4 linked regions of the Arabidopsis thaliana genome follow. The protein of the gene in region 1 interacts with the protein of each later gene in a pairwise test. Each region holds a gene or a part of one and is shown on either strand. Other genes may lie near its edges. The genes, in order: AT1G68220, AT3G08930, AT1G05640 and PTR4.

The links.
Region 2: the proteins of AT1G68220 (region 1) and AT3G08930 interact in a protein complementation assay, tested with the Arabidopsis thaliana proteins (one large-scale study listed by BioGRID).
Region 3: the proteins of AT1G68220 (region 1) and AT1G05640 interact in a protein complementation assay, tested with the Arabidopsis thaliana proteins (one large-scale study listed by BioGRID).
Region 4: the proteins of AT1G68220 (region 1) and PTR4 interact in a protein complementation assay, tested with the Arabidopsis thaliana proteins (one large-scale study listed by BioGRID).

Annotation. Positions count from the first base shown.
Region 1 is NC_003070.9:25,567,017-25,573,749, forward strand, and holds AT1G68220 (aerobic coproporphyrinogen-III oxidase (DUF1218)), read left to right. Parts: upstream 1-3,075; 5' UTR 3,076-3,305; coding exon 3,306-3,398; intron 3,399-3,479; coding exon 3,480-3,688; intron 3,689-4,242; coding exon 4,243-4,546; 3' UTR 4,547-4,717; downstream 4,718-6,733. Other genes in the region: APRR6 (pseudo-response regulator 6), read left to right, coding at 25-495, 581-657, 751-949, 1,031-2,286; AT1G68230 (Reticulon family protein), read left to right, coding at 5,169-5,259, 5,339-5,525, 5,609-5,738, 5,825-5,894, 6,047-6,216.
Region 2 is NC_003074.8:2,710,370-2,719,693, reverse strand, and holds AT3G08930 (LMBR1-like membrane protein), read right to left. Parts: upstream 6,383-9,324; 5' UTR 6,133-6,382; coding exon 5,783-6,132; intron 5,681-5,782; coding exon 5,595-5,680; intron 5,303-5,594; coding exon 5,187-5,302; intron 5,076-5,186; coding exon 4,965-5,075; intron 4,747-4,964; coding exon 4,648-4,746; intron 4,556-4,647; coding exon 4,433-4,555; intron 4,171-4,432; coding exon 4,108-4,170; intron 4,029-4,107; coding exon 3,964-4,028; intron 3,807-3,963; coding exon 3,697-3,806; intron 3,607-3,696; coding exon 3,492-3,606; intron 3,395-3,491; coding exon 3,329-3,394; intron 3,023-3,328; coding exon 2,912-3,022; intron 2,836-2,911; coding exon 2,769-2,835; intron 2,684-2,768; coding exon 2,636-2,683; 3' UTR 2,328-2,635; downstream 1-2,327. Other genes in the region: LHCB4.2 (light harvesting complex photosystem II), read right to left, coding at 1,029-1,391, 1,477-1,977; AT3G08920 (Rhodanese/Cell cycle control phosphatase superfamily protein), read right to left, coding at 6,577-6,781, 6,981-7,420; AT3G08910 (DNAJ heat shock family protein), read left to right, coding at 7,883-8,047, 8,221-8,585, 8,851-9,292.
Region 3 is NC_003070.9:1,685,463-1,693,308, reverse strand, and holds AT1G05640 (Ankyrin repeat family protein), read left to right. Parts: upstream 1-3,353; 5' UTR 3,354-3,807; coding exon 3,808-4,411; intron 4,412-4,510; coding exon 4,511-4,920; intron 4,921-5,003; coding exon 5,004-5,873; downstream 5,874-7,846. Other genes in the region: AT1G05650 (Pectin lyase-like superfamily protein), read left to right, coding at 1,183-1,620, 2,041-2,330, 2,479-2,707, 2,818-3,045; 5PTASE13 (Endonuclease/exonuclease/phosphatase family protein), read right to left, coding at 6,156-6,518, 6,601-6,961, 7,059-7,182, 7,328-7,595, 7,682-7,846.
Region 4 is NC_003071.7:476,019-483,324, forward strand, and holds PTR4 (Major facilitator superfamily protein), read left to right. Parts: upstream 1-2,958; 5' UTR 2,959-3,098; coding exon 3,099-3,155; intron 3,156-3,229; coding exon 3,230-3,332; intron 3,333-3,433; coding exon 3,434-3,651; intron 3,652-3,730; coding exon 3,731-4,217; intron 4,218-4,311; coding exon of another isoform or gene 4,312-4,340; coding exon 4,341-5,113; 3' UTR 5,114-5,167; downstream 5,168-7,306. Other genes in the region: GAD4 (glutamate decarboxylase 4), read right to left, coding at 1-205, 392-633; AT2G02023 (uncharacterized protein), read right to left, coding at 5,449-5,760; AT2G02026 (uncharacterized protein), read left to right, coding at 5,889-6,068; AT2G02030 (F-box family protein), read left to right, coding at 6,317-6,387, 6,878-7,306.

The sequences.
Region 1 (6,733 bases):
ACATTTGTTTTCTCTATGTGAAAGTGATTAATCCAGAGATAAAGACAAAAGAACCATCAGATCTTTTGACAAAAAGAGCGTGCTTTTCTCTAGATAAACCAATTTCAAATGACGACATCAAAAACATGTGGCAACACGTCTTCTCTAAAAAGAGTCAAGAGTTAAAGAAAATCAACATAACTGAAGATCAAGAGAATGTCATGGATAAAGATACATATCAGATTGAAGCTTTCCGAGCAAACCTTAAGAGACAGAGAATAAGTCAAGCTTCTTTGTTAGGAAGACGACCATTCATCGACACATTTTCAACTTATGAAACATTCCAAAAGAGAAAAAGTATTGCAAATGTTGAATGGAAAACTACACCAAGTTATGCTATTGAGATTGAGAATAAGAGAAAGGAATGGAAGAAAAGTGTTGGAAGACGTAAGAGTTTGTGGAATAGTGAGCGTCACATGAAGTTTATAGCTGCTATCTCCATTTTGGGTGAAGAAGGTAAGATTTATATTTCACATTGACCAATTCGTTTTTATTTATTCAAGTTTAGTATACTAGTTTTTTACTCTCTTTTACCTTGCAGATTTTCGTCCAAAATCCATATTAGAGATTATGAATGACCCAAACTTAACTCATCGTCAAGTCGGTAGCCACCTTCAGGTTCATATATAAAATATATATATTTTTAACATAGAAATATGTTTGTCTTCTTATTATAGCTTTATACTAATATTTTTATTCTATGAATTTCAGAAATACAAGGCTCAAATTGACCAAATAAGCTATACATTGCCAAGAAATGAATCGAGATCGATAGATAAAACATTCGAATATCCTTCGAACTACAAATATCCTTTCAAAATATCAGACTTAACAAATAATCTCATTGTAAGTAATTCCTTGTGGAATTCTTTAGAAAAGAAAAACTCTGCATCAGCCTCTATCACTCAATGTAAGTATTATTCTATTATATAGATTTTCACGGTGTTACAATTTGTGTCATATAAGTATTAACAATTTTTTTTTAATGCAGTTTTGTTTAAAAAACCTATTGGTGAGAAAGAGGAAACAATGCCAAAGTTTCATATAGGCGGGAAATTAGATCTAAGCAATCATTCAGTTCATGGTAACGTCCTTAACAAGCTATCTATGAATGTTAACTTCGTTCCTTCAACCATAAGTAATAATCCAGCTTACAATATTCTTTCTATCGATAGCTCTAGTATCGATAGCTCTAGCTATACTGGTTTAGTTTCAACTGGCTTAAGTAGTGAAAATTCTCCTATCCTTTATGGTTTACCATCGAATGATGGTGCATCTAACACATGCACATCTCAGATGGAATCCGAAAGGATTTCTATTCCGCAGTATGATCCTAATCAATGTCACCCACATAGATCCATCCTTGAAACTGATGTAAACCAAATAGATTTAGATTTTACTTCTATACTAGATTCTTTCGATCCTCTAGTAGATGAGTGCCTTATGAAGGAAAACAATAGATTTCTTCCAAACCCTACCATGAACCTTTTGGATACCGATATAGACAAGATGGATTGGGTTTCATTTATAGAAAACCTTAGTCACCATGATATCAATATGAACCATATGGATTGGGATCCTTCAACAGCAAATTACGTTCTTCCTGAAACCAACATGAACATAAATTTTCCTGAAAAACATACAAACGAGATAGGTTGGGTTTCTTCACAAGTAGGTTATGTTCCTTTTGAAAATATGATTCCCTCTGAAGTAGATATAAACCATATGGGCATGGGTTATTCTGGAGGAAGTATTCCCCCTCAAGAAGAAACTAATACAAATAATGTGGGCTTTGTTTCTTGTGAAATACATAGTGAAATCCCTCCCAAAACTAATATGGCCATTCTAGAAACCAATTATTCAAATCCGTTAGATTGGGTTTTCCCTGAAGATATAACTTCACTCGAAACCAATACCATCCAAAAGAGTTTGGTTTCTTGTGAAACAAGTTACGATGCTTTGGATAATATGGTTCCTTTGGAAACCAATATGGAAGAGATGAACGATGCTCTTTACGATATTTCGATTGAAGATCTGATTTCTTTTGACATTGATGCCAATGAGAAGGATATATTCTCTTGGTTAGAAGACAATGGTTTTTCTGAGGAAAATAATATGATGGAGTCATGCGAATATCATAATATAGAATCTGTGAATCAAAGTGATGATATGAAGATAGACGATAACTTTGATGATTATCGTGAATGCATGGATTGGATTAACGAAGAGATGAATAAAGATGTATGAATAATGGTGAAAAAGGAGAACAACAAGATTAAAAGTAGTTTATAAATTTAATATGTTTTTGTATAATGCATATTCATATCATAAATATAGATGTATGTTAATCATAAACAATATGTATGAGATTCTAAAAGTTTTTCAGGTTCTTAATCGTACCATAAGTTTTCTTTTTTTGTTAATTTGTTTCTCAGTCTTTAATTAAAATGTAGTCAAACACTTTTAATTTGACCAAAGTTAGTATTTCTATTAAAATCAGTTCTAATAAAACTTATGACCAAGTAGTAGATGCTCTAGTATTGATCCTAAATCTAATTTTTTATTTTTTTTAAATAATAGTTTACTACTTTACTTCCAAAATTATAGTCAATTGTCATTATAACTATTATCATTGAAATATATTTTTGTCAACAAATATTATTTACTATAGATAACCACGAACAAGGCATCATATCTGTCAAAGAAGCATTGGCATGACTTCATGTGCTCTCTAAAATTAAAAGATATGTTTTGTCTCAATTGACATCATATTATTTTTTGTTACGTCGTAGTAATTTAATGACAAATTACTGAGTCTTTGATTTTTAGCAAGGTCGTCTTCCAACTATGTTTCTAAATCTAATCATGATTTCGGGGTTTGAAGGCAAAGGATGGAGCGTGCAAAGTCGATTTCTTGTTGTTCTGATGCTTGAGCTGGTGGTTGTGCTACCACTTAAAGCTACAATATGTATAAATATACCCATTTAATTACTTACTCTTAATCAAATATCTCTCAAAATTTCTCCACTAAACATTTGTAAACCACATCCAAAAAATAAAAAAAGAGTAACCAGATATAATGATTAGATGGAGACACTTTGACAATTAAGTCATAAATATTAGTGTTCAAAATTCTAAAAAAAGAGAAAAAGAGAAAACAAATATCAGTGTTATAAGGACACTTTAACGTTTCTTCACTTGCCCAAAGCTCTCTGAAGATAAAAGACAAAAGAGTAAAGAGAGAAAGAAGCACGAAAACCAAATCAATGGCGGTTTCAGTTTCAATCCTCACCGTCGTCACTGCTCTTCACCTCCTTGCTTTCGTCTTCGCCTTCGGTGCCGAGCGTCGCCGTAGCACCGTACCCAATTTATCTCTCTCTTACTAAAATTTGTCATTTTTCCGATTTGTGTTGTGAATTCGTGTTTTCTTGTTTATTCAGGCTGTGCCGGTTCCGGATCAGTACGATGAGAAGACTATTTGTAAGTACGGAACTGAGGCGTCGACAGTGTACGGTATGTCGGCGTTTGGGTTGCTTCTTGTTAGCCAAGCGGTGGTTAACGGTGTTACTAAGTGTCTCTGTTTTGGAAAGGGTCTTGTTACTGGTACTTCTTACACTGTCTGGGCTATTGTCTTCTTCGTTGTTTCTTGGTAAAGTTTATTCCTTTACTCTCTAATTGAATCTTTTGTACATCAAGATTTGAAATTGAGTTGATTTAAGTGGTATTTGGTAACCAAAATTTGAAATTTCTGATTAGGGGCTTTTAAGTTAGATTTGGAATGAACTAATTTGTGATTTGATTGTGTATATTTATGGGTTTTAACTTTGAAGTGAAAAGGAAAGTTTTTTCCAACTCTTTTCAGTATTGTGAACATGAAAAGTAAACACTTTTAGATTAGTGGGTATTGAAATTTGGTTATGTGATTTATGATTAATAAGTCACTTTGTTGCAAACTTGACTTCTTATTTACGTCCTTAACTCTTACTTGTGAGTTGTGGATGTCTCTATCTAAAGACAATGATAGTGGTAGGCTTCGTCATGGTCACAATTGAATATTCTATATGTTTGGTTTTACAGTTTGTTATCTTACCAAACTATGTGGATTCTATAAGAAAAGAAACGACCTTACAAGAATAAGAACTAGTTAGTTCATCTCTATGTTTGAGTACGTTTGTCTTAGTCATTGGTTTTGTGTATCTTTAGGGTAAGCTTTTTAGGAGCTGAGGCGTGCTTGTTGGGTGGATCAGCGAGGAACGCGTACCACACTAAAAGTGAAGGCATTTACAAAGGGAAAGAGCTTTCGTGTGCCGTCTTACCCGTTGGAGTCTTTGCTGCTGGAGCTGCTTTCACTCTCATGTCTTTGATTGCAACCATTCTTTACTACTTGGCTCATTCTAAGGCTGATACTGGCGGATGGGAGAAGCATCAGAACGATGGCATTAACATTGGTATGACCACTCCTTCAGATGCTCCAAAGCAACAAAACACCGAGTTTAACAAGGTCTAAACCAGTTTCTGTTTGGTCTTATGTTGGCTATGCTTTTAAAAACAGGGTAAAACTATAAAAAAAATAGTTGTTTGTTAATTGTCAATATAAACTTGTGTCGTCAGATATAATGTTGGCTTATGTATGTCTATGAGAAATTTGGTTTGGCTCAGTCATCATCTTAGCTTCCCACTTGACCTCATCTAGATTGTTATCATCTGCTAAAAGTTTAGACATGAAAACAATATGGGCACATAATGGACTGGGCCTACGAAGAGGCCCAATGATTGCATTCCTAACATATCTAGCCTCAACTTGGAATATACTTGCATGGGAAAGGGTTTAGCTATGATCAAAATGTTGATAACTTTTTGGAATACATTTTTGATCATTAACTCAAGTTAAGAAAGATTCTCTACAAGATATAAAACTAATTTATTCATGTAGCAATAAAATGATGAGTTTTTGCAATATGCTAAAGCCATACCTTTCCTGTTTTTTCTCAAATCGCTTTCTTCTTTATGAATCCAAGAACAAAACCGTTCTTATCCTAAAAGTTCGGAACTATATAATAAACCATGAATCTTAGACCTTAGCTCACAAAAAAGGCCACAGTTGTTTCAAAACCTGAAACCAAAACAAAATGGCGGTTTTTGGATATGAAATGGATGAACATAGAGCTTCTTCATCGAGACGACGAAGATCTTTGTACCACAATCTAGGAGGAGGACGATGTAACATATATTTTTCTTTCCGTTTTCACATTAATTTTGGTTCTTTTTCTAAAGGATTTTTCTCTTGAAATGCTTGTAGTTGCTGATATAATGTTCTGGAAGAACAAGAAAGAATCAGGAACAATCTTGGGGGTATTCACATTGATATGGTTCTTGTTCGAAGTGGTTGAATATCCTTTCATCACTTTCCTCTGCCAGATCCTCTTACTATTCATTTTCATATTCCTCATTTGGTCTTACATTGGCTCCTCACAACTAATCCAGAGGTAAGAAAAACATTAACACTACTTGAGATATACTTCTTTATGAATCAATCAACCAAGCTCTCAAGAAATGTTATTTTGCGCAGTAAACCTCCGAGTATTAATGATCTAAGGATTTCGGAATCGAATTGGAGATTCTTGTTCAACAAGATAAACTGGTTCATCATCAAATTGTATGATATTTCAAGTGGCAAAGACTTCAGACTCCTTTTTCTGGTATAAATCAATACACACAATTTCATTTTAATTATTTCATACCAAGATTGTTTTGATTTTATAACTTGTGTCTCGTTTCGTTTTAGGCCGTTGTTTCCCTATGGATATTATCAGTGGTTGGAAACTATTTCAGCTCTCTAACTCTATTATACATCGGTGAGTCTTAATGAGGTTATCTAACACATTTACTGATTAACACTCTACATTTTCCAAAACTTTTTCTTTTTGGTAAAAGCCTTTCTTTTTGGTAAAAGCCTTTCTTTTTAAGTATGGCTTTAATTACAAACATTTTTGGTGTTTTGGTGAAGTATTTGTGGGTTTGGAGACAATACCGATGTTGTATGAGCAATACGAAGAAGAGCTGACTTATGCAGCAAGTAAAAGTGGGAGGGACATGAAGAAGCTCCTAAACAAATTCAACTCCAAAGTCATTAACAAGATCCCTAAAGCTCAAGCTAAAACTAGAAGGACTATGTAACTTTTATGTATATCAATCTTCCAAATCTGCACATATTGTTACACATTATTAAAACTTAAAATAAGTCTTTGTTCATGTAATCATGATTGTTCATCAAGGAATTCAGGATTCAATGGGTATTGATCATTAGATTTTCGTTCTTTATTGAAGGTGACTCGTTGTGATTAGAATAGTCTTTTCTAAAATATGTTATTACTGGCTATCACTATTTTAAGCATGATTGGTTTCTCTAAACTCTATGAAATATTCTTGTGCAATGAAAATGTTATTCGATATTTGCCATTCTGCTACGAAGCTTGACTGGGTTTTGATACCATTACATCTTCCTCAAACCTTAGTAGAAAGTTTTGTAAGAGTTAGCATAACTCACGTTACAACGATTTATTAGTCTAAAATTTTGCAATTTTGAGGTCTAACTTTATATCAGGGATATATTCAACAGATATTCGTTTCATTATTAGGCACCTCGCACCTCTTTGGTGATAAAAGAAAATAAAAATATATTAGGTACCTCTTT
Region 2 (9,324 bases), on another chromosome or scaffold:
CAAGGTGCTGCTCAGGTGTGTGCGCAGATGGACACCCTTGACGAGGAGCTTATGGATTATGCAAACCAACTCCGGAGAAGCATCTTTGAAGCATACTCCGGGATACTGCAAGGGTTCAAGGATGCAAAGGCTGAGCTCATGATGCCCTATGCTCAACATCTGTTGCAGTTTGTTGAACTAGTATCCAAAGATTCCCTGAGGTCCGTACCTTCTTTTTTCAATAATATAATCAATTTATATATCTTTTCTAGTTTCACTATTCAGTTTAAACTTATTACTCGGTTTTTGTTTTGGGAGCAGGGATGAGAGCGTGACAAAAGCCGCGGTTGCAGCAATGGGTGATCTTGCGGATGTTGTAGGGGAGAACACGAAGCAGTTGTTCCAAAACTTCACCTTCTGTGATGAGTTCCTCAATGAGTGTCTCGAATCAGAGGATGAAGATCTCAAGGTCACTGCACGCTGGACTCAAGGAATGATCGCAAGACTCGTGCTCTAATCATAAATTTAAAGGCTTTTCCATCATCACTACTCGTGCGTCTCTCTCTCTCTGTCGTCATTGTTTTGAGTAAAGGTTTCAAAGAATAGTTGCGGGTCTTCCTCTTTGCTCTGTCTAATGATGTTGGGATAGTGGTTAAGGGGGGTTTTGGGAAATTGTTTTGGGGCTATCTCTGTTTTGATGCTGCGTCTTATTTTTTACTCTGTAGAAGAAAAACAAAATCTTTTCTTTTTTTTTGGTGAATGGAATTATCCACTTATCGGTGGTCACTTTTTGAGTCAACTTTATGATTCTATGTTTCTTAACGTGAACAATTTCGACAGAATTTAGCAAACGATTAATTTGATGTAAAGGCTCATCATAACTCCGATGATCTACGTAAACACAAACTGCGAGGTATAAGAAATTCCGTTTATACAAAAGGTGCCAAATTTTCTTTAAAATAACGACGTTACATCATTACATGACACCAGTAGAAGCTAAAAGCCACCACATCATTACATGACACCAGTAGAAGCTAAAAGCCACCACATCAGGAGGAAGAGAAGGTATCGATAATGGTGGTGTGAAGTGGGTCACTAAGGTGAGTCGCCCAGTTGTTGAGCGGTCCTTTACCGGTTGCAGCCGCCTGAACCGCAAAACCCAAGAATCCAACCATGGCTAAACGAGCATGTTTGATCTCAGCTAGCTGAAGCTGAGCCTTCTTCACCGGGTCAGACGCTAGTCCTAACGGGTCAAAGAACTTGCCTCCTGGATACAAACGCTTCTCCGAGTCCAGTTCAGCGTTTCGTTGGAACTCAATGTAGCCGATCACTAACACTTCGATCCATATCAATGTCGAGATAGAGAACGGCAATGGCTGTCCTAAGTAAGATGATCCATCCACTAGCTCTACCTGGTAAATTAAAAATAAAACAATCAGACAGATGTCGAAACGCTAAACACAAACGCAAAAGTGACGAAAAGAAAAGAGGCGATACCTTGCCGGCGTCTTGCCAAGTAACACCGGTGAGCCATTCGACGGTGATAGCGCCAAGAGTGGCGAGCATTGCCCACCGACCGTGAATCAGCTCACATTCTCTGAATCTTTGTAGCCCGAAGACTTCACTATATGGCTGAAACGGCGTCGATTTGGGGTCCACCGCCTCGGTACGAGTCCCGATCACTTCTCCGTATAAGTTCTTGGCTAAGTTCTGGTCCAAGGAATCCAAATCGAATTGGAGATACTCCGCCGGTTTGCCTAAACCAAAAGGATCGAACCCGTAGTCCCCGACAAGTGAACCGTCGAGATATTCGGGTGATTTTGCGCCTGGGAACCATAGAGGCCGGTCTGAGATAACCGTCTTAGCCTTTTTGGGAGATGCTTTCTTGGTTCCGAATCCGAACCGGGCTGTGAACCGGCTTGAATTGGAGCTAATGTCGGAAACCACCCGGGTACCCATGATTGAAGAAGCAGCAGCGGCGGTTGAAGTGGCGGCCATCTCCGGCGTCGTTAGTTAGTTCTGTCGCGTTTGCGGTTTGTAACTTATCTGAAGCAAATGGCGTTTTTAAGTGGCGGTATGTGTGTGGGAGAGATCTCAGAGAACGAATCTTGACGGTTAGATGGAGAAACAAATCCATCTGACGGTAGGAAACAAAATCAGCCTTATCTATAAAAAGCTCGCGTTATCTATCCTGTCTGTCTTTTAGAGTTAGATGAGGCAAGCAAGCTGATTGGGCAAAAGAAGCTATTGACGAATCGCATAGCAACGCCACTTGTCACTTCAGCAGCACATGTCCACTTGTATAGTTGTATGCCTTGCATACTAAACAAATTCAAGAATATTGATAATCCGGTTAGGTTCGGTTACAATTGTCTCAAACCACAAAGGAAGTCTCTGTCTTGTAAAAATTCGAAGAAGGCTTCTCATTAAGAAAATATGATTACATGATCGCATCCGAGACAGTACAATAGACCAAGACAGGACAGCTAACTGTTGCGCAACCAAACAGCACACTCACAAGAAATTTAATAATACATTCAGGAAAATAAACCTCAGAAGCAGAGTCTCTAGATACTTCTGGAATCGATGATGATCCAGAAACAAGTAGAAACTTTGTCGACAGCACTCAATCAGATCCCCGTGAAAACGTTTTACATTAAGAAGAGAGCTGGAAACGGCCACTAGTTTTTTTTCTTCTCCATCCCTGCCAAAACACCAAAGACCATATGATTCTACAAATACTTAATACAGAAGAGAAAACCCGAGGAGTAACATCAACGAGGACTTACAAAGGCAATGTAATATAGGAAAGTCAGTCCAGCCAGGATAACAAACCCGATTTGGAACACATTGTACCTGAAATATAAAACCTCAATAAGACGCATCACGGATATAGCATATGACTGCTATATGTTATACCACTTCTACTTACTTGTAAAGGTACTTAATTCCTCTAAGGGACTGCAATGTGTGGCCAAATATCTCCTGGGCAGCAGTGGCTTGAGCGTAATATCCAAATGCAGTGGCACAAAATTGAATCACGCTGCATTTTAAATGAACCACATTACTCAGACTGTGAGGATTAACATGTAATTGTGAGGGTAGCAGCTGTATATTAAAAGTCTTGGTTTGACATCTAATAGAGTACAAAGGATACCCAAGTGCATGAGTAAAGTAACTATAAACTTCGATTCAGGCATTCGCCGGAAAGGAAATTAGTTTTAGTGATGGCATGAAAACACTGATAAGTTAATGTATGCACATAAACATGCTTGATCTAGATCCGTTTATCAGAGTGCACTTGATCCCAACAGATACAAAGGCAGAAGAAGAGACCAGAGAGACTTACCTGATTGAACAAAGAAGAATGAGGCCGACATTGAAGAGGAAAGAGTTCATTAGAGTAGCTCCCCATCTGAAATAAGTTGATATGGCCAATCAGCAATCAAGAGAAGGTAATGAATGACCTTGGAAAATAGCCAAATAATGTTGAAACCGGTTAGATGGATTACTTCATTGGATGAATGGTAATGAAGACCAGCTTCAAACCCAGCATCATTGCCCCAGCGATAACAGCAAGTAGAAGGTAGAAACAGAAGAAAGCAAAGGCAGCAGTGCCTAAAAGACCTGGAGATTTCCACACGTACCAGCATGGAGTCAGTTAGAAACAAAGAAGAAACCTTATACAGGATAACAAGGACAAAAGTATGAACTTACCCCAAACATCATCAAGCTTAATGAAAACCTCGTTAAGAAAAGGGGAGAGAGGAGGGTCGACGAGTAGATATATGATGATGTGTGCAACCCAAGCAATGGAAACGATCAATCTACAAAGACATTAAAAATTTGCCATTTAAAAAGACGCTTAGCTCGGGAGCTTAAGAGTGCAAACCTAAATATGCAAGAACTGTATGCATTATGCATGATTTATACAACATGTAACAAAAAAAAATGCAAAGGAGGTTTCTGCTTAGATGTACTAACCCTACGATTCCAAGAATAAACTTGGCCAAGTATCCGAGCACAGTGAAAGCCCATGCAGTTTCTGCCTGGAAAAAGGTACCAGGGAATAAAATAGTTGAACAAGAAAAATATTATAGTATAAGTTCTAAGATACACTCGTCTTACCTGCTCTCCTTGAGGATACATCTCTTCTAAGAGGTTCACATCTTCCTCCAATTGGAGCAACTCCTGCAGGGTTACCACATTCAATTATAGGATTGAGGGGACACAGCTTAAATCCACAACCAAGCAAAGAAAAGCTACCAATAAAGTCAATAACCAATTCTACTATCTCACTAGCTTTTCACTACAAGTTGTCATTCTCATAACTCCACAGACGACCAAAGCCTCTTTACACACAAGGGACCAGTATGAATAGGCAAACTTTCCAAGTTGCTACTTATGAAACAAAATTTAGATAAGATACTGAACCTTGAGATATATGAGGTACCTTTTCAACTGCTTTCACATTTTTCCGCCATTTCCTGCCCTTAGCACCACTTCTTTCTTCCTGATGAAGTCCATCAGCTGCTTTCTTTAGTTCTCTTGCCTTTTTACCTAGTTCGGTTGCCTCCTGTAATATATTTATGGAGTTAATCATGCAAGAGACAGAGGGATTGACTCAAGATCTAGAGAGATGCTTCCAGAGGAGAACAATAACCAGACCTTTATATATTGTGATCGAGTGATAACAGCCTTTGGTCGCCTGATGAATGCAGTGATAAGTCCTAATGGTAGACATGCAATACCAACACCACCAAATATCTAGAAATATTTGAGAGAACAATTAGTTATCAGATTTTTTTTACTGAAATGTATAAATCAAACATCTATTTACTTCAATGGATACAGAATTATATCTTGCCATGCATCTCATCTGTTGAGAGTTTGTGTTAGTCAATGAAGAATCAACAATATAAGACAGATTAAATCCTTTCAAAGCAAACAATGCACTTCTCAACATGAAAGAACAATGGTCATACCGTGAAAAGAACTGACCCAACAATTGTCGCAAGAGCAACAACATATTCTGGAAAAGTAGTACGCATAGTCCATGTTTTCTCAGATGTGGGATTAGCTGTAAATGCTGAGCACTGCATTGATAGCCAGAGACAGGAATATGTTAAATGCTGAAACTCTCTACGGCATAAATGACTCATGATATAAAAACTAATGCTAATGCTACATTCAAGAGGCAAACATACCTGGCGAGCAGTGTTACCTATGCATGGTTGAGTATTTGAAAACTGCCAGGAAGTAGGGAAAGTGGATGTGGCAGAAGCCAAATGCCTGACCGAGAAGTCCACCTTTCCAATGACACCTACATGATGAAGATGTTACCAATAATGTTAAGGTATTCCTAGCATATAAATGGATAAGATAGATATCTCAACCCAAGCCCTGATTGGGTAATTTAAAAGCCAAAATTAACATAAGAATGCAGTCAAATCATAGAGACCAACATCAGATTCATCCTTGCCACATGCTCACTAATGGATTCAATAACCACTCCAGCTAAACAAGTATAACCTCCAGACTATCGTCATTCGTCAATACAGAAAGACGCTGAATTTCAAGTCGACAAAAGAATTGAAAACAGAGGAACAACTAACCATATAAAATTCCAAGCACCAGAGCACAAACAACAGCCGTGGTAACTACCCAAATTAAGGCACTTTTTATCCTCTTTCCAAGAGTCCTGTGAAAAAACGAAAGAAAAAAAGCCCACAAATTGTCATCAGTATTCGATTAACTCAAAACTTACAACATAGAGATACTAAAATTTCATCAAGCTACGAACTTGTCCTGGTCGCCTTCATAGAAAAACATTGCGAAGGGGATGACAAAGAACACGAGAATAGCGTCCACGATATAAATAGCAAGCCAAAGATCCTTCATGGGCAAGGTGAGATTGCAAGCTCCATTGTATATAGCATGTCGACAAGCATGCCGATTGGCCACATCAGCCGGTAACATGAGAATCGAGATCATAGCAATAGAAAGGCCAAAAACAACGACGAATTTGGGGAAATAAGCCTGGTTTGCATCATCTGGATGCTGATAGTTGACGAGAAGATAGATGCTAGAGATGAATACGATGACGCAAACAACGATCGCGACAATCACGAGAGCGAGGTTGAAATCGCCCATCGTGTGCAATGTACAACGTCCCCAATTCGAGAGATTTCGATCCCGGAACGATTTGGAAGATGTAGCACCCAATTGCAAAGGCTAGGGTTTTCTAGGAGTTCAAATTTTGAAAATTGAATTTGGGGATTTTAGTAGATCTGGATTTCTTTCTTTTTTTCCCTCTCGAAAACCAGACGAGGGAAGAAGAAAGAGGACTGGGAGAGGATGAACATTCTTGTAAATTACGAAGCTACCCTCAACAATGTGCTCTCGTGCCTAATGGCTTTGGGTGTAAACGTAAATTGTTACTAGGTTTGGAGATTAGCTGTCCGAAGCAAATGATTCGGACAAAATATTTCAACTAATGAAAGACATCTGTAAGTAATAAACCAGTGACCAATTGTGTAAACCGGACACAATTTTAAAAACAAAAAATGTCTTCACACTTGGCTCCAAAAAACCAATTTAACGACTCTTCTGGCCAAAAGACGGTAACAGTACAAGTAGTTTGAGTAAATAAAATGATACACCTCCTATCGTGGCGAACCGAAGCTCTTCGGTCCCTTCGATCTCTGGAAAATCTCCCTCGGATACTCGGTTAAACCCTCCGGTTAACCACCCTAAGCTTTTGTACCCTTCTCCGTGGAGCTTTGATACAGCCGCCAACGACCTGAGAATGAGATTGAAAAGCAACACCATTTATAACAACCAAACCGAACCAAAGAGTTCAGTTTAATTTATACTATCCAAACCAAAAGATTCTATGATCAAATCGATTGATTAATAGTTTATTTAGTTTGATAAGTTTCTCTAAAATCTGGACTAAAACTGGCAATGATTAACCAAAATGCAACATATAAAGCTGGTACCTGAGTCCTTCACCGCACACGACGAGCACTTTACTCTCTTTGTCCGGGACAGCCTCCACAACACGGAGGGCGAATTCGTCATTGATCATGGTGAATCTCTGGCCCGTCCAAAGCCCAATATATCCCAAATGAATCCATTTCTTCAGCAACGTGATCGGCCCATTGTCTGGATCTTCCACGAACAGTGGCACGTGTAAGGAACCTTTCACGCGTGCCTTTTCTCTTTCCCAAGCCGGCCTCACGTCTAACAGTATATATCCCTCCGACGCCACAACCGCATTGGCTTCTTTGGGCTCCACCGCCCGTACCTTGCCGGAAAGTATCAGCTCTTTACCGGAAACGGCGGAGATCACTGGTAATCTGTATGATTGTCGGAGGCGTCGGTTTAGTACTACTGGTAGCTTGTGGATATGGTTTAGCTGAGGAAGAAGAACTGTCATCTTTAATTCTTTTGGATTTTCAGAGGAATTTAACCAATGATATTGTTCTTCAGATTTTTCATTTTAAGAACACCCCAAAACTTCTTACTTATTTCCATTTTAGGCCCTCAGATATTTCATAATTTGACTATCACCCTCGCTTAAAGTAAAGTAACAAACATATACTAGTGGGGTCAAATGTTAAATAATAAATATATAGGGCTACTAAGTGTAAATTTCCTCTCTTTGAAACGACACCGTGATTCTTAATTCTGATAAGGTTTGACTTTTGAGCTAGGTTTGCCGAACCAAAAACAGAACCGGTAAAGACCAAATAAAAGAACCGGTCGGGTATTTCTTGTATCTCGATAAATATTTCGAACCGGTACGGAATGATCCGCTAGAGTTTTTCCCATTGAAGAAGATCGAGTGAAATTCGAAGAGCGAATCAAAGAGGAAGAAGAAGAAGGAGGAGGTATAGCAATGGGGGTCGATTATTACAAGGTTCTTCAGGTGGATCGGAATGCGAAAGACGACGACTTGAAGAAAGCTTATCGCAAACTCGCCATGAAGTGGCATCCAGACAAGAACCCTAACAACAAAAAAGACGCCGAAGCCAAATTCAAGCAGATCTCCGAAGCTTACGATGTAAATTAACAAAATGCGTTTTCTCTTTTCAGAGAGATTCCCATCTTTTGCTTGAATTTGAGCAATTGTGTAGTTTGTCAATTCACTATGGTTACTTCTCTGGCAATTAAGTAATCTTGATTTGCTTGTAGAATTGTGTTTGATAGATTCCTTATGCTGTTGGATTTTGTAAGGTTTTGAGTGATCCTCAAAAGAGAGCCATCTATGATCAATATGGAGAAGAAGGTCTAACAAGCCAGGCTCCGCCTCCCGGAGCAGGCGGCGGGTTTTCGGATGGAGGGGCTTCGTTCCGGTTCAACGGTAGAAGCGCAGATGATATCTTCTCGGAGTTCTTTGGCTTCACAAGACCATTTGGTGACTCACGTGGTGCAGGTCCCTCTAATGGGTTCCGGTTCGCGGAAGACGTTTTCTCGTCAAATGTTGTTCCACCGAGGAAAGCTGCCCCTATTGAGAGACAACTTCCTTGTAGTTTGGAAGATCTCTACAAAGGAGTCAGTAAGAAGATGAAGATCTCTCGGGACGTCCTCGATTCAAGCGGGTCAGTTTTTTTTCAGCTACATTGTCATGAATTGAGTTTAAGAATCACCTTCTTATGGATTTAGTTCCAAAACATTGATTTGCTTAGGAATTTTTACCTTAAGGAGCTTTGGAGCTGGATAAATACATGAAAGATGTAGTGCTAGAAATTAGTCATTAGCCATTGGATAGATTATGTTGGACTCATTAGAGTTGTTTTTTTTGTAGCTATGATGTTGTTGTTATCGGTAATGCAAGTTGAAAGTGTATTCTTTGTTGCAATGCAGGAGACCCACAACAGTTGAGGAGATCTTGACGATAGAAATCAAGCCAGGGTGGAAGAAAGGGACGAAGATTACCTTCCCGGAGAAAGGAAACGAGCAGCGAGGAATCATACCATCAGATCTTGTATTCATAGTTGATGAGAAGCCACATGCGGTGTTCAAGCGAGACGGGAATGACCTTGTGATGACACAGAAGATCCCTCTTGTGGAAGCCCTCACGGGATACACTGCTCAGGTCTCGACTCTGGATGGAAGATCAGTAACGGTTCCAATTAACAACGTGATCAGCCCTTCTTATGAAGAGGTGGTGAAAGGTGAAGGCATGCCAATCCCTAAAGACCCATCAAAGAAAGGGAACTTGAGAATCAAGTTCACTGTTAAGTTCCCATCGAGGCTAACAACAGAGCAGAAATCTGGAATCAAACGAATGTTTTCGTCTTCCTAGTCTGTCTCTTTCTATCTTACTGCTACGTTTGA
Region 3 (7,846 bases), about 24 Mb from region 1:
CACACGTCTTTTTTTTTTTCGGTCAACTGCTAAGTTGATCACATGTCATCTCATATAAAAATGAGGTGATGTCGTCATTTATACATATTTTGATCACTTTTTACCTACATTTTAAATTTAATTTCACAATATTACCGTTTTGTATATGGTCGTTAAAAAAAAAGAGAGTATAAAATGGCTAACTATAACAACATTCACCCGTAATGTGCATATATGTACAAATCGAAAGATTGTAAGATTTGCTCAACTACTTAATGTTTGTTTATATTGGCCTTCGATCAGAAAATCTTGGTTCTGAAAGTGTTCCTAATACTTCCAAAACATAAGTTTTGCATATAGCTGCAAGGAAATGGCAGATGACAAATTGTTCTTTTAATGGATTATATTGTTCTTCTCTTTGTTGAAATTTTGATAAAATTAAAGTTTTTAAGGATTTTGTTCCATGATCATTTTACCTTCTTGGAGAAAAGTAATACTTTATTGATAAAAAGAATACTCTAAAGATTAGGATAGATATTATTCATTTAATTTTGTTACTACTATTTTTTTTATAAAGAATTCCTATTTTTATGGTAGTTCTTTCAGGAGTTTGTAAATTTTGTGTCGATAACAAAAAAAAAAAAAAAAATCAACTCTGCACTCTATAGGGGTTTTGGTTGAGTTTCTTTCTCTTAGTTTATGGCTGAGTTTCTATTTATGCACAAATGATAGTTTTCTTCATTTAGTATTGTTGGTTCTCTATAGAATTAACGTTATATACGGTTTATGTTCTAATCAATCGCTGAGTGGGTTTCCACGTATTTATTTTGTTCATCAATATATAAAAACAACATGTACCAAGAATATAATACATATACACATACGTATATGGCCCATGTTATATGGGAAATTGATAATGTGCAAAAATGTCATCGTTCATACAACGACCGTTGCTCCTAAAAGTACGATATCAACCATGTGTGCACCTAATGATTGGAAATGTAAACTCTTTTATCAATCATAAAATATTCACAACCTCTTATCATATAGATATCACATGTACTTAATTGTACCATAGACTCCAATAACGAACCAAAATAATTATGCTCTCTCTCCCTATATATACCCATGCATCAAATCAAATCAATTCAAACACAAACACAAACACAAACACAAACATAAACTCAAACTCACATATAAAAAATGACAAAATCAGCTATAACATTTCCACTTATCTTCACACTTCTCACCTTCATCGATGTCTCGAGCAGCGCCTCCATTGTTTTCAACGTCGTGAGCTTCGGGGCCAAACCAGACGGAGTCACCGATTCCACAGCAGCATTCCTAAAGGCATGGCAAGGGGCTTGTGGCTCGGCAGCATCAGCCACGGTGGTGGTCCCCACGGGGACATTTTTGTTGAAGGTAATAACGTTTGGAGGGCCATGCAAGAGCAAAATCACATTTCAAGTGACCGGAACCGTCGTTGCTCCGGAAGATTATAGGACCTTTGGCAATTCCGGTTCCTGGATTCTCTTCAACAAGGTTAACAGATTCTCACTGGTCGGTGGGACTTTTGACGCTCGAGGTAGTGGGTTCTGGTCTTGCCGGAAATCTGGCCAGAATTGTCCTCCCGGTGTTAGGGTACATATGCTTCTCCTCTATCTATAGTTATTGTAAATAAAAACAACAATCTGACATTCATACATAAGCGCCACCAGAATGCAAAAGAGCAACAAATAGCTTTAATCATTATTGATTAGTAATAACTAAATAAGTCAATATATTTTTTTTAATAGTCAAATAACATATCTTTATTCCAATCATTTACTTACGATTAAAAAAAAAAAGGAATTAGTTGATAGTTTTCAACTATATTAATTCAGGCACATTTAATTTTCAATATGATCTATCCATGCCATTTTTAGGAATTTATTTTATAAGCATATAATAACTATTATGATAATGATTTTTGGACAAGGAAATGGATTCTTTGGTCAAAATAAAATGAAATATTTATAATCTTATTATTAATCTATGGCGTTTATATATTAATTACTGTAGTCAATATCGTTCAACTCCGCAAAAGACGTGATCATAAGTGGAGTGAAATCGATGAACAGCCAGGTTAGCCATATGACCCTCAACGGTTGCACCAATGTGGCCGTCCGTAACATTAGGCTGGTGGCTCCCGGAGACAGCCCAAACACTGACGGCTTCACCGTTCAGTTCTCCACTGGAGTCACATTAACCGGAAGCACCGTTCAGACCGGAGACGATTGTGTTGCTATCGGTCAGGGGACCCGCAACTTCCTAATTTCCAAGCTTGCTTGTGGCCCAGGTCACGGGGTTAGGTATACACCACCGTCTAATTCCTTAGAGTAAATTATGTAAATATATCATTAATTGTTAGGAATCATGAATTTCCAACAAAAAAAAAACTAGCAATATTGCCTTCACTCACTCTGGTCACAACTCATATGATGATGTGATGACTGGCAGCATCGGGAGTTTGGCAAAGCAGTTAAACGAAGACGGAGTAGAGAACGTGACAGTATCGAGTTCGGTATTCACCGGATCACAAAACGGCGTGAGGATAAAGTCATGGGCGAGGCCGAGTACCGGATTCGTTAGAAACGTCTTCTTTCAAAATCTAATCATGAGGAACGTCCAAAACCCTATCATAATCGACCAAAACTATTGTCCGTCCAACCAAGGTTGCCCTACTGAGGTATATCCATATCATATTTTTGATCAATTTCAGACTAATCAAATATGCTATATCAAATTATCAACTTAGTCAAATAACTAAAGATTTATTATGTTTATGGTATGTATTAGCATTCGGGGGTGAAGATAACCCAAGTGACGTACAAGAACATACAAGGAACTTCGGCGACGCAGGAAGCAATGAAGCTGGTGTGTAGCAAGAGCAATCCATGCACGGGAATCACATTACAAGACATAAAGCTTACTTACAACAAAGGAACTCCTGCTACTTCCTTGTGCTTCAATGCTGTTGGGAAAAATCTTGGTGTTATTCAACCTACTAGTTGTCTAAATCGATGAATTTATTTGGGGTTAAGATGATATCACTGTGAAATGTTATTAGGAAACTGATTTTTCAAATAGTTTTCTGTAACAAGGTATATGATCACCAATTTCTGTAACATACAATTTTTTTTTTTTTATTAATAAAATATTATTTTCAGTAACCAACAAAGTGGAAGACTTTGACTTGTTGTCACCATCACATTGTGCTTTTGCTTTTTGGTCTTTGATTTGGACAACAAAAATATAAAGAAATTAGAGAAAAGAAGCTTTAACTGGATATAAAGTTTTAAACTGGAGATAATTGACATAGTAATTAAGAATTTGTTGCTTCAAAACTCAAAAGAAAAAGTAATCACTAATATTACTAAAGATTTTGGAAGTTTAGCGAAATTAATAAAGAAAACAGCTGAAGATGCAGTCACTCATCACAGTCTCTCTCTCTATCTCTATATCCTGAGAATCTTACATGATTTGCCCACAAAAAGCATTGAGATTTACAAATCAATCTATTGGGTTTCAGCTACACTCTACTGAAATCAGCTGCAACCTTTTTTTTTTTTCTCTCTCTTCTTTCATCACATCGGTTTGAATCTTTACAAGAAATCTGGAAATCACAGGGAAGTCAGGGTTTTCCATTTTCAAGCTGGTTCTGTTATTACGAAACACGGGTTGCTGGAAAAGAGCTCACGGATTCTTCAAACAAAGTTGGCATCTTTCAGATTTGGGAGAAAAAGTTGTTATTCAAGATCTTTGTGTAATCTAAGGGAGAAGCATACCATGAGTTCTCTGGTTCCTGTTATGGAGAAGCAAGAGAGCGTTCGAGGTAACTCTGTGGAGGAACAGCAGAGTCTCAGATGCGTTGGTGCAGAGAATCAGGTGAGAAAGGGAAGAGCTTTGGACAAGCAAGTTAGTTTCCTAGCTGTGAATGTTGTTGAGAAACATGGAATCAAAGGAAGAGCAATGGAGAAACAGGAGAGGGCAATGGAGAGGCAGAGAAGCTTTCGTGGGTTTGTTGAGAAGCAGAAAAGCTTTAGGGTAGTAATGGAGAGACAGTTAAGTTTCATGAATGTTGGTGGTGAGAGGAAGAAGAAGACTGACTCACCTGGTAAAAGAGGAGATTCTCCTCTTCATCTCGCAGCTCGAACGGGGAATTTGGGAAAGGTTATGGAATTGATTCGAGCTTGTAACGGCATTGAAGAGTTGAAGGAGTTGTCATCAAAGCAGAATCTAGAAGGAGAGACCCCTCTTTATAGTGCAGCAGAAAATGGGCATTCATTAGTTGTTGAAGAGATGTTGAAACATATGGATCTTGATACTGCATCAGTTAAAGCTCGCAACGGTTTTGATCCTTTCCATGTCGCTGCAAAACAAGGCCATATTGGTAAATGAAACTTTAGAGAATCTGATAATAACTTGAAGACCTTGTTATTGTTGTACACCTTCTTGACATATATCTTTGAATGTGTGCTGTCTTTTGCAGAGGCATTGAAGAAATTGTTGGAGACATTTCCGAATCTGGCTATGACGGTGGATCTATCGTGTACAACTGCATTGCACACGGCTGCTTCACAAGGACACACTGATGTGGTGAATCTTCTTTTAAAGACGGATTCTCATTTAGCTAAGATAGCTAAGAACAATGGTAAAACCGCACTTCATTCTGCAGCGCGAATGGGGCACAGAGAAGTGGTTAAGTCTTTGATAGGTAATGATGCAAGCATCGGGTTTAGAACTGATAAGAAGGGACAAACAGCGCTTCACATGGCTGTCAAAGGTCAGAACGAAGGGATTGTTCTTGAGTTGGTGAAACCTGATCCTGCGATTTTGAGTGTTGAGGATAGTAAAGGGAATACGCCGTTGCACACTGCCACAAACAAAGGCCGTATTAAGGTATCATCATCGCTAATTCCCCCTCCCCTCAGTTTCTCAATCTACAAGAATTCTGATGAACTGCATTTTGCCTTTGCTTGCAGATAGTGAGATGTTTGGTATCATTTGATGGAATTAACCTTAATGCTATGAATAAGGCTGGAGATACTGCACTTGATATAGCCGAAAAGATTGGAAATCCAGAGCTTGTGTCGGTTCTGAAGGAAGCAGGAGCTGCAACAGCTAAAGATCTTGGGAAGCCTCGAAACCCGGCTAAGCAACTTAACCAAACGGTCAGTGACATTAAACACGAGGTACAGTCTCAGCTCCAACAGTCTCGCCAAACGGGTGTTAGGGTGCGGAGAATCGCAAAGAGACTGAAGAAGCTTCACATCAATGGTTTAAACAACGCTATAAACTCTGCAACCGTTGTGGCTGTCCTAATTGCAACAGTTGCATTTGCAGCAATCTTCACCATTCCTGGGCAATATGAAGAAGACAGAACAAAGGGACTGTTGTTATTAGGAGAAGCCCGCATAGCCGGCAAAGCCCCGTTTTTAGTCTTCTTCATATTTGACAGCTTGGCGCTGTTCATATCTTTGGCTGTTGTTGTGGTGCAGACTTCAGTTGTGGTGATTGAGCAGAAGGCAAAGAAGAATCTTGTGTTTGTGATCAACAAGCTCATGTGGTTGGCTTGTTTGTTCATATCCGTAGCCTTTGTTTCTCTTTCGTTTATCGTTGTGGGTAAGGAGGACATTTGGCTGGCGATTTGTGCAACGATTATTGGCGGGACGATTATGCTAACCACGATAGGTGCAATGTGTTACTGTGTGGTCATGCATAGGATCGAGGAATCTAAACTGAAAAGCTTAAGGAAAGAGAGAAGCAAATCGAAATCTTTCTCACTATCTCATATGCCTTCAGAGTCAGAGATTCTCAACGGCGAATTCAACAAGAGAATGTATGCACTCTGAGACTAAAATCTCCAGAACAGGCAATTTAGTGTAAGAGTAACAAATGTATACATGGGTCACGTACCTGTAGTTTAGATTCAAGTGAGGAGATACAAAAGTTGAATACATGCTACCTGAGGAACAGTCTCAAAGCAAATCTACAATTTCTGACACAAAATGAATTTTCTAAAGAATCAACGAATGAATAAAAGCGATTCTTCACCTGATGCATTTGTCTTGTGATGACTTTGTTGTTCTTCTGCTCTAAGATCTAGTTAAAACTGTCAAAGTCACAAGAGCTCATCACCGGCTTTTACCTCGTCTAACCGAGTCTTCAGTTCTTGGTCTAGTGCTTCCATTACGGGTAATATCTGTTGGGTAACGACGTGAACCACCTAAGTTCTTTGTTAGGTTCGTGGGTCTGTTCTCAAGGAGACATACTCTGGCTGAGAAGCAGTGACGGACTTTGACAGAGTGGCTTCTCAATGTTGTTGAGCAGCTTCCTCGAATGTTCACCATCAGGATTGCTTCTTTATCTCGAGTGTCTTCGCACCACCAATTCTGTGGGATGCCATCAACATATTCCTCCATTGAGTAAAAATCTTCGTGATGAACTTTAACGTCTACGGATCCTTCTGGATTTATTATCCCTGCTGCGGGAGAAACCTAAAAGAAAAAAATTCTTGTATATCACTAAATCTTGAATACTACAAGAATCTTCATTTGGCGTCAAAAGAGAATTTAATACCTCGAGCCAGCGTGGTAGACCAAAGGAGCCTCGTGGATTGTAGTCAGCATCTTCTCCGTCATCCTTAACTACAGCCTGGCCACCGCACAGAATGTTAAATATGGCTTGGCTCGTGGGTGAATTGTTTGTGATTGTTAGGATGACTGTGTCCTGACTCTGAAGAACAATGTTGTTGGTGCTCACAGAAGTTTCTGGAACAAATCTTAAATCTTCGAATATGGATAAAATCTTCTCATTAGACCTTATTATTTTCCCCAGTTCCTGTCTCCGCACAGATTTATCAACATGAGCTATTGTCGCATGAAATTTGCAGCGCACGGGTTTGTGATCGCTCTCAGTAACATCCATGCAAGCTTCATACCTGTTGAAACACGCAGGTGGGAAGTTAGAATGGAGAAAACACATTGAAGAGACCGGAAAAAGCGAGAAACATCAGAAAGGTCGTCATGAAACCATACATTATGACTGATGAAACTACAGGGCATTGCAAATTGCTCTCAGAGAATGGGCTAGATTGAGTGTCTCTATATATAACTCGGTCACACCACGCAGGAATTCGCTTTTTCTCCCCTGAATCATATCCTGGAGAGTACACAGCACAGAAAGATTCAGTTTTTTTGGAGCCACCATCTCTTACAAAACAGAGGAAAAAATGCAGAGAACAGAGCAGAGCAAAACTGCTTCAATTTTTTCAAATTCATATCTTATGTATCAAATCCACTTTTACCTCCAAGGCCTGAGCGATTCCTTTCAAATTTGTAAGTGGGAGGGAAAGTGATTAATGCCTCGCGCATTCCTTGGAAGACTTTTCCAACCTTCATCTCTGCTCTAAGTTGGTCTCTTTCTCTGAGCCAATCGAAGGATCGCTGTGAAATGAAGTCCCTTGCTTCATCATAGGTTATACCAAACAGTCTATAGTTGAAATCGCCAAAAAATGCGACCATGTCTGCTGCTGCAAGATCAGACTTGATTTCTTCAGCGCCGGTGCTTGGAATCTGGAAAACAGAGAAACATGTTAAATACAAATTTAAGGAGCAAACAACATAAACTCAGGAGTAAAGGTGATATGATAAGAACATACAGTGTTACTCTTTGTTGTATAAGCTGAAGTTGAGACACCAGCTGCAAGAGAGAGGGCCCATGGCAAACCAGAAGAATAAAGCAGCCAAAATAAATATGTGGAAAAGCCAAGTGAGCAAGACAAAAACAGGTACGGCACCATACCAGCTGCAGCGTTACTTAGATT
Region 4 (7,306 bases), on another chromosome or scaffold:
CTGAAGCTCAGTGGTGACAGGGTACTCGTCCATGTCGACGTAGTTCTTGTTGATGGACTCCATCATGAGCTTGTCACATTCTGGCTCCATCCATGTGGTCACGAAGGAAGCTAGGTTCAGCCTTGGGTTACCATCGAGCATTAGCTCGTCGTTGATGATTTGGTAAGCTGCTTCTTTTGGGATTGAGTTCTCAGGCATTTCGAATCTAATGATGAAATGATGATACATTAAGTTAAAATAACGAAACATGTCCTTCCTTATAGTATATAACACATAATAAATCTACAACATTAACCACGGCCAAAAAAAAAACTATCCAAGGTTTACATCATTACATGTTACTATTGTTGACGAAAACATTAGACAAAAGATTTGTGTTACAAGTTGTTACCGTGGAAGAGAGTTGCGGACGTAACGAGAAGCAAAAGTTGAATGGATTGAGACATCAGATTCGGAAACTGTCTTAGACAAAACCATGTCTTCTTTCAACTTCGAACTTTGATTTTTGGGTTTGAAATGAACAAGAGGAAAGAATGTGTAGTAGTGTTTTTGTTTTGTAGTTGAAGAAGAATGTGTGGAATTAGAGGAAGAGGAGCAAATGGTATATATAGTAGAGAGAATGTGTCTCTTCATTTCGTGTTTTGCATCGTGAAAGGAAGCATCGCTGGTCCTTATTTATGTGCTCCTTTTTCAAACCTTTTCCTTACCAATGACTTTTCCTCATTATAATATTTAGACCAATGAATTACTAACTTTTAGAAACACGAATACTTTTATTACTATCGTATACAAATTCCGACCGTCATCTTTTTATTGGATCTTTCTAAGTTATCGTGAACATTTTATTAGTGATTTTGATTTTGTTTATTTAGCATCTCCCGCGATTTGATCAATTTCACACTTACATAATTATGTGAATATTACAAACGCGTTACGCGTAAAATGTGAATATAGTACTAGATTATATTGTTTTCGTGATTCCTTTTTGCTGTCAATGGAATTTATACCAATAAGCTAGAAACCAAATTCGAACTTATATTGGTATCACCACTAAAGGACATTGACTTTTTGTTGTAAGATCTCATATTACCATCTCTAAAGTATAAAAATTCAAATAAACATCAAACCCATGGTCTGACCTAATTAAACAAATAAAGTTAGGCGATTTATCAAACCTCCCACATGTTTAGACTAGCTTTAGAATAGCCCTAGCTTGGGTTAATTTTGTTGAAAACTAGAATCCACTAGCCCTAGCTTGGGTTAATTACGTTGAATACTACAGCTTGATCAGCATTGTTTCTAGATTACCTTTTTTTTTTTTTTTTCAATTGTACATAGGATTTACTTATATTTTCGAATGGATACATGAAACAAGAATACTTCATCATATATGTTTATATTTTTTAAAAAATCAGATTTTATAGACAATTCTATTTTGACTATTCAGGATATTATTAAATACAGTTTTCATTTTCTTTATCTATCTTGTTTTTATTTTTTGACTGAAGGACTTGTCAGTAACAAAAGTAAAACAACAGGTTTGTTATATCTTGTTTTTTTTTGTCTCCCCCAAATGATTTTCAGAAATAAAAATATTTGTGAGTGGCACTCATACGTAATTAAGAGGCAGGGAATGGGGCATAACTGGCAGTAAGAAACAAAAGAAGAAAAATAGTAAAAGTCAAAAGTCGACCCATCAGTCACTCTCTAACGCGTTAGTCAATGGGAACCGGCAAATGGAGACCGAGACGCCACTCGCCGAACCGGCAATTATGGGTAACCGCCACCGGTTTACTTCTCTAAAGTTCTGACTTTCCTTAATTATTGCAACACGAATTTTGAAATGGCCAATTAATACATGCTCTGTTCGGTTTTGTTTGTACTAGTCAACTATTAGCGACCGAATTATTGACTATTCAATAGTTCAACGTTAAATTATTAAGGACAATTCAAAACTATTCCTTTCATATTCAACATTTTTATTTAGAGACAAAATCACCAATCCATAATTTAATTTATTTATTTATTAATCATTTAAGCGGTTCGAAAACTATATCACTAAAATCAATTGGTAAACCAATAAATTACAAAACGATCATGATTTACTAGAGCTTCTCGTTTTTGAGGTTGAAGACTGTTGGTCTCCCAAAAAAAAAAAATCAATTTACCCCAAAACTATTTTTATTTTGCATTAATTAATTATTATCATAAAACTTTATTAACACCATAAATTGCATTTGGTGCTTCAAAAAATAAAATAGTATTTATTTACTTAATTCCTTACCAAATATTTTATATCCAAGTTGTGGAGGTCATAAAATTGGCCCAACAAGTACAAATTAGGAAACCCACTAATATTTAAAGCCCAATAGGTCCACTCAATTTTGCAATTTCTTAAAACGTGTTGTTAACAAGAACACATTTTATGGTCCAGTGGTCACCGCCACCAACTTCTCGACTTCGAGAGAGACAAGAGTAATCCAACGATCTGGTTGATAGTGGTAACACTGTTCCAATGAGCATTTTTTGGCATATCCCTCAATATATCTTTATTGGGAACATCTAGCGTTTTGTTCTTTCTTAGTCGGCTTGATTTTTTCTATGAACAATCTCTAGATGCAAAATTTGTGTAGTGCTTGGACTCTTCACTCGGCTCATTGATTCTTACACTTGTTGCATATTTCACGACAATGAACCTTAGTAACGGTCATCTTGATTACTATTTTTGGCTTTTGGTCTGTCTTGGCTTTGTTAATTTACCGGTTTGGCTAGAAAGGTTTCGTAAGATTTGTTTGATGTCTTCTTTAAAACTTGAAGTCTCTAACTTGTTTGATAACTTTTGTTGTGTTAGGGGAAAAGTGTGCTATGGCTCAAAATTTGCTTAATGCTTAAGTCTAATCAGATTAATAAAGTTTGTGTGGTTTTATATTCCCTCTTTTTTTTTATAACATTTTTTAAAGAATGTGGTTCTGTGGTGAGTGACCACTCACACCACCAACAACAACTTGGTCAGTGGGAGGATCATTTTATTTGATCCTTCGTTGAGAAGCTTAAATCAGCTTTACGTGAAAATTGTCATGTTGAGGAGAAAGTAAAAAATGGCTTCCATTGATGAAGAAAGGTCACTTCTTGAAGTTGAAGAATCTCTTATACAGGTTCAACCTCATTGTCATTGTTTCTTTAGTGTTTTGGGGTCTAAATCTTTGTTGACTAATTCGTTTTTCTCCAGGAAGAAGTAAAATTATATGCTGAAGATGGTTCAATAGATATTCATGGAAACCCACCATTGAAGCAGACAACAGGAAACTGGAAAGCTTGTCCATTCATTTTTGGTAAACACTTTGTTTTATTTCACTTGTAATGTACTTGTTGTATTCTCTCATGTTCTGTCTTTAATCTCCAAAAACTGATATCTATGCTTTGGTTGGTGCAGCAAACGAATGCTGCGAACGGTTGGCTTATTATGGAATTGCCAAGAATCTCATCACGTACTTCACAAATGAATTGCATGAGACTAATGTTTCTGCTGCTAGACACGTCATGACATGGCAAGGAACATGTTACATCACTCCTCTTATTGGAGCTTTAATAGCTGATGCTTACTGGGGAAGATATTGGACTATTGCTTGTTTCTCTGCCATTTATTTCACCGTAAGCATTTTCTTGAAAAATAACTTTGCTTTATGTTCTGTTCTTGGCTTGATGTTCTGTTCTTTGATGTTGTTTTAAGGGAATGGTTGCATTGACACTCTCAGCTTCAGTTCCGGGTCTTAAGCCAGCGGAATGCATTGGCTCTCTATGTCCACCAGCAACAATGGTTCAGTCTACGGTTTTATTTTCAGGGCTTTACCTTATCGCTCTTGGCACTGGAGGAATCAAACCATGTGTCTCATCCTTTGGTGCTGATCAGTTTGATAAGACCGATCCAAGCGAACGAGTCAGAAAAGCTTCTTTCTTTAACTGGTTTTACTTCACTATCAACATTGGTGCTTTTGTTTCATCTACTGTTCTAGTTTGGATTCAAGAGAATTATGGATGGGAATTAGGATTCTTGATACCTACCGTGTTCATGGGACTTGCTACTATGAGTTTCTTCTTTGGCACGCCGCTTTATAGATTTCAGAAACCGAGAGGTAGCCCGATTACTAGCGTCTGCCAAGTTCTTGTAGCCGCATACCGTAAATCGAATCTCAAGGTCCCTGAAGACTCCACGGACGGTTACAAGAAAATCTTTTTCCCTCTCATTTCTTGTTTGAATTGAGCATTAGTCTATTAACGGTTAAATAAACGGGTTGTGATATCAATGTACAGGTTTCTTGACAAAGCGGCAATTATATCAGAAGGAGATGCAAACACTAACCCGTGGAAGCTATGTACCGTGACTCAAGTCGAAGAAGTTAAGATTCTGTTACGTTTGGTCCCCATTTGGGCCTCAGGAATCATCTTCTCAGTTCTCCATTCACAGATTTACACTCTCTTTGTTCAACAAGGACGGTGCATGAAACGAACCATCGGCTTATTCGAAATCCCTCCCGCAACTCTCGGGATGTTCGACACTGCAAGTGTTCTCATATCTGTCCCAATCTATGACCGCGTCATCGTTCCCTTAGTGAGACGGTTCACAGGCTTAGCTAAAGGATTCACCGAGCTACAAAGAATGGGGATTGGTCTTTTTGTCTCTGTTTTGAGCTTGACATTTGCAGCTATCGTTGAGACGGTTCGGTTACAGTTAGCTAGAGATCTTGATCTAGTGGAAAGTGGAGACATTGTTCCATTAAACATCTTTTGGCAAATCCCTCAGTACTTTTTAATGGGCACTGCTGGAGTTTTCTTCTTTGTTGGGAGGATTGAGTTTTTCTATGAGCAATCTCCAGATTCAATGAGAAGCTTGTGTAGTGCTTGGGCTCTTCTCACTACTACACTAGGAAACTACTTGAGCTCGTTGATCATTACCCTTGTGGCGTATTTGAGCGGAAAAGATTGTTGGATTCCTTCAGACAACATTAACAATGGACATCTTGATTACTTCTTCTGGCTTTTGGTCAGTCTTGGATCTGTTAACATACCTGTTTTTGTCTTCTTCTCTGTGAAATATACTCATATGAAGGTTTGATCTCTTCTTCTGGCTCTTGTGTGTACTTTCAAAATTGTTTTTTTTTAAACCAGCAAATCAGTTATATTAAATCATAACGGTTTACATGATACATACAACAACCATTCAAATATAACTATTGAAACAAATAAAGGAAATTGAACACAATTTTGATGAAGAAGTGTAAGTGACCCTGCTTTCGAAACGGAAGCCTTACAGGCAACAAAATAAATCTGTTAAGTCCTCTCATCATACACTCGCAAAAAGCTAACATCTTATAGATGAAACTCCTAAATGCTTTCTGCATTACTTTAATAAAACGAAGAATTTGGTAAGTTGCTCGAAATGGTTCTGAATCATGCTTTTTGAAACGCTCTGCACCGGTTAATGACTATGGATTTTCCTTTTACAAGACTCACTAACGGATTCAATCCATTAGTTTTCATTTTCTCTTGCGCCAATTTGTCAAATCTTCGAAGACATAATATTCCCGGAACCCATATTCGTCGACCGAAGCACCAGTTGTGAGGAAGAGTCGCTACGAGCCTCATTTGATCTTCGGCTAAAACCTCTTGCAACGGTTCACTAGGAAGCGCACCAGAGTCAATCGAAGATTGGCAATGTATTGCCAAATTGACATCGCAATGGGATGTTCCCATCACAGACATAAAAGATGCTTAGCGGATCCGTCGAACAACTTCTCCACACCGGCATCGAAATAGAAATTTACCGTTCCCATGAAGAGAAGGAGGCAAAGAAATCGGCTCCATTGTAATGGAAACCATAAGAAAATTTTATGAAAGAGAGACATGGCAGTTACTATGAAATGATTAAACCGCACCAAGAGAGAAGAGAACAACGCACTGGTCGTATGTTTGATGCAACATACGTTGGTGATGGTGCCCATGATGTTTGCGACAAGATCTGCTTCTTCATGGTGATGATGGTCACAACAAGTTATGTTAATCTTGCTTGACGACGGATCGTGATTTGTTCGAGACAGGCCCGTCTCTGGGGGTGGCAAGGTAGGCAAATGCCTAGGGTTACTAACTAATTTCAAAAAAATTGTTAAGACTAAAAGGCCCCAATATTTCAAAAAAAAAAATTTACTAAGAAATTTTATTTTATTTTGGGTTTTGCCATAGGTCCCATAATGAATTGAGCCGGGAGACTGTTTGGTCAGTTTCGTCACGACAGATTTTGGACAACCCAACCAATGGTGTAATGAGTGGCAAAACCAGTTCTCGCGGCCAACAAGATGAGATATCCGGCGAAAAACATGAACCGACACCAACGTAAGGAGAAGAGAGAGAAAGACGATAATCGCCAAAATAATCACTCACAAATTTGTTTTTATTTTATTTTAGGGGAATTTAGTTAAATTTTGAATTATTATAGTTCTTGGATTCAGAAGTTATTTACGTCAATCTAAGATTTGAGTTAATCTAGGCAAATCTTAGTATTATTTACTATGTAAATGAATTACATTATTCCAATTAGAGATTTGTTCTAACAATTTTGTAGTTATTTTAATCTTAAAAGTTTGAGGCTTTGAGCCATGGATAATAACGGAAAACAATTCTCAAATAAAAAAATAACAAAGAAACATTAAACTATATAGATATATACATCATAATTCACGTTGATTCCAGCCACTCTTTATGACGGTTACAAAGAAAATATGGAAACAGAACTTATAAATTCAGCGCACATTGAATTTCACAAGAGTCAGAAGAAATCGATGGAGAAACTCCTTACGATCAAATAAGTTTCTTTGTCCGCAAGAAAAGAAATCAAACGAAGAAGAAAAGAGTTTGAGAAGATCCATATACCTAACGAAATCGTCGAAGAAATCTTGGTGAGGCTGCCGGTGAAATCGCTCACGAGATTTCAAACTGTGTCAAAACACTGGAGAACTCTGATCACGTCGAAGTATTTCGGAAAAAGACACATGGCTCTTGAGAAAAGCAAAGGATGCAAACTCCTTTTTGTTTGTGATGATTTTGTAGATCGTGCAGAGGACACTCTGTTTTTAAAAACAGTTGCCTTGGAGAAGACGTCAGTTTCTGAGGGAGATGAACAAGCTTTCGAATTCGAAGGATATAAGGGGTTTCTCGATATTTCCGAGAGCTGTGATGGCCTTGTCTGCTTCTACGACACTACAAGAGCAGTGGAAGTAATGAATCCGGCCACAACAATGTTCATAGAACTCCC